Callithrix jacchus: one gene and its partner. The protein of the gene in region 2 purifies or fractionates together with the protein of the main gene of each other region. This does not show direct contact. Links are inferred from orthologs where the notes say so. Each region holds a gene or a part of one and is shown on either strand. Other genes may lie near its edges.

What was found.
Region 1: the proteins of PYHIN1 (region 2) and DCAF1 purify together in Homo sapiens (affinity purification with mass spectrometry; 3 studies listed by BioGRID and IntAct, counting the BioPlex papers as one, with this or other methods). This does not show direct contact. The link is inferred for Callithrix jacchus from reciprocal best matches to the Homo sapiens genes PYHIN1 and DCAF1.

What each region holds. Positions count from the first base shown.
Region 1 is NC_133516.1:33,972,672-33,976,297, forward strand, and holds the end of DCAF1 (DDB1- and CUL4-associated factor 1), read right to left. Parts: intron 3,482-3,626; coding exon 3,427-3,481; coding exon of another isoform or gene 3,423-3,426; exon of another isoform or gene 2,510-3,422; intron 2,479-2,509; coding exon 2,366-2,478; exon of another isoform or gene 2,351-2,365; intron 1,779-2,350; coding exon 1,708-1,778; intron 891-1,707; coding exon of another isoform or gene 887-890; coding exon 833-886; 3' UTR 616-832; downstream 1-615. UniProt on the Homo sapiens protein: Acts both as a substrate recognition component of E3 ubiquitin-protein ligase complexes and as an atypical serine/threonine-protein kinase, playing key roles in various processes such as cell cycle, telomerase regulation and histone modification.
Region 2 is NC_133519.1:18,961,256-18,965,078, reverse strand, and holds part of PYHIN1 (pyrin and HIN domain-containing protein 1), read right to left. Parts: intron 3,534-3,823; coding exon 3,105-3,533; intron 1,563-3,104; coding exon 1,353-1,562; intron 154-1,352; coding exon 1-153. UniProt on the Homo sapiens protein: Major mediator of the tumor suppressor activity of IFN in breast cancer cells. Promotes ubiquitination and subsequent degradation of MDM2, which leads to p53/TP53 stabilization.

The DNA of each region.
Region 1 (3,626 bases), on a different chromosome or scaffold from region 2:
ATGCCCTACTACTGAGTTGGAGACCATTGGGAAACATTCTTCTTGCGGGGGAAGGTCACAAGTCACTGAGGTGTTGGGTAGTGCGAGCTCTTGAAGCCACTCAAGCCAGGTGGGGAGGAAAGGGACGAGGAGATACCCCCTAGCTGGGAGGGTGAGATTCTGCCTTCATTGTTTCAGTAAGGTAGTACAGACAGTGCAGGCTGGGGAGGAAAACCAGAGCACACAGTTGTCACCATAGAACACCCCAAATGCCATTCTTCAGAGTGTCAGTGTGGCAGCTTGGATGTTCCAACAGGGATCATTGTCAGGGCTGAGGCAAACGGAAGCTCTGGTAAGCGAATGAGCACCCAGATAACCAGGAACTCTGGGTTCTGCTGGCCGTGGCATCCTCTCCAGGTCTGGTCTCTTACCCAAGCTGGGATGAGGCAGCATAAGTGACAGCTGAGATTTGAGGCAGGTGCTTGTGCAGAGGCTGGGGCTCAGTGTAGGTTGTGGAGAGGCCACGCTAGTCCACAGGAACACTTGGCAGTGCTCTCGTAGACACCTGGGTGATGAATGGACAGGAAAGTGCCTCACGAGAGAAAAAGCACATTGATGACAAAACAGCAACACAAGGACATGTTAAACATGCTTATTTATTTGCCTGTTTTTGAGCTGTGGTCACAGCTGCAAGGTACAGCAGGACACGCCACCATTCCAGGATAGCTGGTACTGCCGAAACAGGAGTGGGTCTTGTCTTGTTGAAGGCACACTGCAGGGTTTTTCCTGCAGATCTTCAGCCTGAGTCACAGGCCAGAGCTGCCTTGGTATGTGAGTCCAGAACTTCTCTGGGCTACCTATCTTCCTTCATGGAGGAGGTGCTCAGGACCCGGAATCTATCTCCCAGCTTTCTGAGACAGAACCAAGTAAAGGAAACATGCTAGAAAACGTGCCTGGAGAAGACACTTCAACCTTTGCCTTGTCCACCCCTCTTCAGAGAAAGGTGCCCCATGGCCCCAAAAAGAACTGTCAAGTTTTGGTGAGGAGTAACACCCTAGCATGACCTTCCCTCTCTTTCCTGGTCAACCACTTCCTTCCTTTGGTTCTTAAGATCTAGCAGGTTCTGTGAACTCTCAGAAAGGCCTTGGCCAGTACTAGTAAGGGGAGCTCAGGTGGTCAATGCCCTGCCCTAATGAGAAAACTCTTACTTCAGGCATCCAGTGCCCTTTGGGTCCTGTCTAAGGTGTTGCTTAAAGACAAGAAGGCAAAATGTGCCTCACTGGTGGTGTGCCACTGTTCTTGTGCTGCCTCCTAGGTGACTTTCAGGCCTGGTAGAATGAGGAAGAGGGCTGATGCTTCCTTAGCCCCTTAGGGCATGTTCCTAAGGGTATGTTGTCAAGCCAACCCGAATTCTGCCACCCTACTATAGTCCCCATCTCCCTCTTAGAGAACTGTGGGTGCTCCCAGCAGAGTTGAGACTGGCTCCACTGAGTTAATGACTAGAATATAGTGCTTTCACTACTTCTTGGTTGTTAACCTGTTTTCTGATGCAGTCAGTACCAACAGTCAGACTATTCCACTGGTGTGTTAACTACCATTAAATCAAGGCATGAAGCAAAAGAGCCAAGTCCTCTGCTCTCCAGAGGATTAAGAAATACCTGTGTGACACAGACCCACTCAGTGTGTACAGCATATTCTACAGTGCTTCTGAGCCCAGTAGGGCTTTACCTGCCCCTGGAGAGTTTTAGCCATCTTGTGTTTCTTGTTTACTTCACAACCACATTTGTCCCCTCTTCTCTCTGTTAAGGGAGAAACATCACTTTAGCTGGATAATATCTACGTAACAGAAACTGAGCAGCTGTTATTTGGGCAAAATCAAAGGAAAAAAGAGACTATGGTCTTATATTTATTGTGGGAAGGAAAACAGGGTGGGGTGGGTAAGCGGTAAGGTTGAAGCCGCTGGTACTCTGCCTGGTGGTTACACAGTTTAACCACAGGCCAATTTTAGGGGCCTCTGAAGTATCTTTCTACAAACACAGACCAATTCCCACTACCCCTAACTTGCCAGGACTGCTCAAGTCTACTGTCACAGTCCCTTTCAGAAACCATTAGTGGCCGTCGCCCCAGCTACACAGACGGCCGAAATGCTTTCACTCTTTAGCTTTGCAGCTCCTTCCTCCAAAACTTCCCAGAACACCTCCCGTTCCAGCTCCACCAAATCTATACTTGGGAGCAGCCTGCTGGATCCAGAACATAAGGATAGAGAGCTGTGACAACAGTGGCCAAGGCCCTGAGCTCTCCTCTCTCCACATTACCCTTACAAAGACAGGTCCTCCCTGTGAGAGAGCTACAGGACAGGAGCAGACACTGTGACAAAGCTACTTTCCTCCCTGGAGTGGTCTCTGTAGGCAGAACATGCTCTCCCACCATCCTGATCTGCCTCTCCTGGAAGGTATCTTCCTTATGGCCTCACTAGATCTGCAAAAAAGGGACACACCCCTTGGGTAAAAGAAAATAGGGAAAGACCATAAACAAAGACAGACTTGTAGTTTATTTTGTATTTTTTTAAAATAAATACACTTTACATTAAAGAAAAAGGCCTTTGATTTATAATTTCCACATTGGGGAGAAAGGGAAGAAAAAAAGCTTTTTGAAAAACTGAATCACAAAGAAAAATAGAGGGAGTGAACTTGTATCTTAAGTTCCCTCAACTCCACAAAACCAATATCCACAATGACCATGCTGCCCCCAAACCATGAAGGTGGGTGAATTCAGGCATACTCAGCAGATAAAGAGCCTTCGTTCCCACCTCTGGCACGAAGGAAAACAAATTAACCAGACAGCATATGAGGCAACAAAACAGGTTAAAAAATCATATATTATATTTATAATAAAATATTCTTAATCCTTATCAATTTAAGAAACCACGATTTTCCTTTTTCATTTAAATACGTATGTAAAAATGCCTCTATATTGTTCTTTAGACATCATTTTCTTCCAAAGAAAATGAAGTGTAGGGACAAGAGACCTGGTGGATATAAGTTCATACCCTCAGTTATAAATGCCTGTGTTTTTTTTTTTTCCTTTTTAAAGTTTTATAAAAAACTATTTCTTGTTCTTTAAGTAAAGAACATTATACAAAGAAAATATATTGTGAAATACCCCAGAGACATGTTTTTTTCCCCTTGAAAGATGTGTCCATCCTAGGAAATGGGGGGGCGGGTACAGAGGAGGGCCTAGTCCCTGTTGTTATTTTTGTGATTGTTATTGTTTCTGGAAGGACTCTCAGGTGCCACTGAGACTTTCTAAGTCATAATCCTCTGAATGCAGGGCATGCAGTTCCTTAAAAGACAGCCCTGAGAGAAAGGGAAGGGAATATGTTCTGAATTCATTTGACTCAGTTTCTCGCCTGCCAAGAATCTCTTCCAAGTAGTGATGGCTCCTCACTCATTCAGAGATAAGATGATGTCATCTTCCAAATCAGAGTTGTCAGAGCTATCAGCTGAAAGGGAAGAAAAGGGAGAGACAAGATTACCCGCTAGGCTTATAGGAAGCTTTCAGGAAGCACGCACCTGCACTCACAATGTATTATGCCCAAGTAAGGTTAACTACCAGTTTCTAGAAAGAAGAAAACACACCAATTAACT
Region 2 (3,823 bases):
AAAGGAACTGCTTGATGGGGTTGCTGGCAGCATGTGAGGAGTCTTGCTGGGATGGCATTCACGTGGGAAGGTTGTGCCAGCCTCTGAAGGTTTTGGAAGCTTCAGTGCCATGCTGTGGGAGTCAATGCTTCTCTGCTTTATTTTCTTACATATCTGAAAGCATTCATTTTTTTTTGTTTAGTGTTTTTTAATATCAGAGAAAGTACACCATCTTTAAATATCTGAGAATATCATCCTTTATTCCATTCTAATAGATGTCATTACCTCTAAACATTGCCTCTATCTGATGTACTCCTCTAGACAACTGCCAACATATTTCTATGCTAAAATGTAAAATGTTCTAACATTCTTAGTAAAATAAAATCTTTATTTACTTATTTTTAAAAAACGAACTTCATTTTTTTCTTTATGGCATAAGACAGATGAGAAGAGGGCTGCTTGTCACCTGTCTTGCGTGAGTTTCTGACACATTTCCACATATTCCAAAGTCGTACAGAACTCACTATGCTGTTTCTCACTTTTAATATTTGTATGCCACATTTTTTCTGCCTGAAATCTTTCCAATGTCTGTCTTTACCTTGTTAACAGCAGTAGTATCTAGTGCACACTGATTTGTCATAATGTGCAAGGAAGGTAATGGGATATGAACCATATATCCGTGATCTCATTTAATTTTCAAATCAATCTCAGGAGGAACATTTAAGCTATTTCTCCAATATCATACAACTAATGAGCAAGGTATATACCAACCCTATCTCACTGCAAAAAACTTGCTTTTGATCACTAATTAAATTAGGCCTGTGCCTTCCTAATTTCTTCCAATATTTTAATATTTAGCACAAGTTTCATGTTCTTTTGAAGTCAATAATGAATGTTATTCTCTCAATAGATTTTAAAAATTTTCTCTATTTATTTATTTATTTATTTATTTTTTGAGACGGAGTTTCGCTCTTGTTACGCAGGCTGGAGTGCAATGGCGCGATCTCGGCTCACCACAACCTCCGCCTCCTGGGTTCAGGCAATTCTCCTGCCTCAGCCTCCTGAGTAGCTGGGATTACAGGCACGCGCCACCATGCCCAGTTAATTTTTTGTATCTTTAGTAGAGACGGGGTTTCACCATGTTGACCAGGATGGTCTCGATCTCTTGACCTCGTGATCCACCCGCCTCGGCCTCCCAAAGTGCTGGGATTACAGGCGTGAGCCACCGCGCCCGGCCTGTTTTCTCTATTTAAATGTAAGTGCAAGGGCGTCATTTGGTTTCTCATGTACTCTGCAGAATTTTAAGTGTAAAACAACAGAAATATGATTTCCGAAAACTTAAAGCGAATGATTTTTATCTTTGGAAAACTAACATTTCTGTCTCTATTTCTCATCTGGATGAAACTATGCGTTTCTGACATCAGTTGTAACACATCTTTCCGCATTCTCAGTCGAAAGCAGAAGAGTTGAAGCTTATCTCCTTTTTCACAGGGGATATTGTGACATTCTCCTTTTCCAACTACATCCATACTCCCTGTTTTATCCAGAATTTCATAGATTGTCACCTTCCTCTTTACAGTTTTCTGCAACAAAAAATTAATATCATGTTGGTGAGGACATAGTAACCACCTTACATAATGGAAAGTCTTTTGTAACAGATTAAAACAAGATGCAAGACATCAACTCCTAGTACAGTATGAACATACAGTACATGTGCCTTAGTTTAGACCATCTCCCAGAGCTCTCCCTTGATACTCTTTTCTGTAATGTTCTAAGTATTTCTATGACAGTTCTAGAGCAAAGGGTTATCTTCTCAATTTCAACTTTTTTCATTTCCAGGACAACTATGCTTCCCAAAGCACCTTGATACTAAGGAACCTGAACTCTGGTAGGGTTATTTGGCCTCTACCCCTATGCAGAAAGAATAAGCATCTGTTACAACTCATCATTCACCATGTTATGAGGAATCTACAATAAAAAGCAAGCTTCTATTAACTATCTAATTACTCTTTTGACTTTCTCTATGTACTGAATCTCTTTCAACGTCTGCTCCCATCTGATCTCAGGTCTTTAAGCTCAAATGTTCCAATCTCTTGCTCATCAAGACTATTACCTGTCATTCTAGATATGTATTACTTTTTTTTTTCCTCTTAAAAATTTTTTTTTTTAAAGACAGGGTTTCACCATGTTGGTCAGGCTGGTCTTGAACTCCTGACCTCAGGTGATCCACCCACCTTGGCCTCCAAAGTGCTTGGATTACAGGTGTGAGCCACCATGCCCAGCCTAGATATGTATTTCTAAGAATAATTTAAGAGTGTGTGCAGAAAGCAATGCTGGTAAAATAAAAGATTGTTCTAGAAAATAAATATAATGGGTTGTGAGCTGTCGGTCATCTAAGAAATTATTGGAATCAATAGCCAGGTATAGATGGTTTTCTGAGATGGAATCTCTCATGCTAACTAGTTTTATGAATTTTGACAGTAACATATTAGAAAAATTATTCTGCTCTTTTTGTTTTCGGTGACATGACGTGTCTAATATTCAAGTACAGATTACCTAACTTTCCAAGTATCACCCGAATTCTATTTCTCAGTTGTTCAATACTTTTTGATGAATGGGTTTCCTTTGGTCTGAACATTGTCCTACCCATTTTCGGCATTTGATTTCCAGGTATGAACAGTCAATTCATTTGTTGCCCTGACTGTCAAAACTGGAACTCAAGCCTCAAAGGACAATACTTCATTCAAAATGAAAGTAATATGATTTTTGCTACAACTGAGATTATAATCAAAGAAATAAATTTAGTATTATGCTAGATCCCTCACTATTCTTGATTGTTATGGCTCAGAATAGTCATAGCTGATGAAGTCTCATGGTTTCTCGGTGAATGCTTTACTAAAGAACATCAGGGTGACATTTTGGAAAGAAAAACATTGGAAGCAGAACATTAATGGGTTTCCTAATCTTGGTCTTAACCTTGAAGAAGACTATCTAATTGTCAGTCATTTTGATAGAGCCCTGAGTTCTAATGTTAAGTAAATATGCAAAGTTCCATTTAGTACATCAGGGCTCTTAATTTCAAGTGTTTTTGTAGAAAATGCAACAAAACAGCTTTGATGCCTTACTTTATGTAGTGTAAATAATCCATACACAATGTCTCCTGAAGCTTGTTTGTGAAGAATATTGATCTTCGGAGTTTTCCTTGCTCTTCTGATGACATCCTTTGGAACCTGAAACGTTTGCTCAGGACCAGCTTCAGATACAGAAGAGGCTTCATTCACCTCTAGGAGACTATTATATTTAAAATAATTTGATATAATGATGATTCTCTTTTTAGTGAATTTCCTCTTCAAGTTGATGTTTAAAACCTTCACATGAAAGAACTCTGTCTGCGTAACCACTGTAGCATGAAACATTCTTCTTCGATTTTTTTCTGAGGATTCATATTTAAATATCTTTGTTGCATTTAGTACCATCACTCTCATTGGGTCTTTCGAGCAAATATTTTTTCTGGCAGTTGCCTGACGCCTGACCTTAGGTCTTAGGCTTTGTGCCTGGTAAATAAGAAATACAAAAAAACAAATTTTTGAGTGAGGAAACAGAACTCAAGTCACAACTTTGGGCCCCAAAACTTTATAGATGTGTAGAGCAGGATACAGGGAAGGAGAGGATATCCTAAAGTAGTCTAATAGCCAGAGGAAGTAATATAGGAGGCCACATGGTAAAAGAAAAAGACTTTTCTCTTAACAGAATAAACCTTAAAATGTAAGATATAATAGCAACATAAGACAAGTGGATACTGAGCCAATTATCATGAAGTTACTTAAAATAAATATTAGGATAA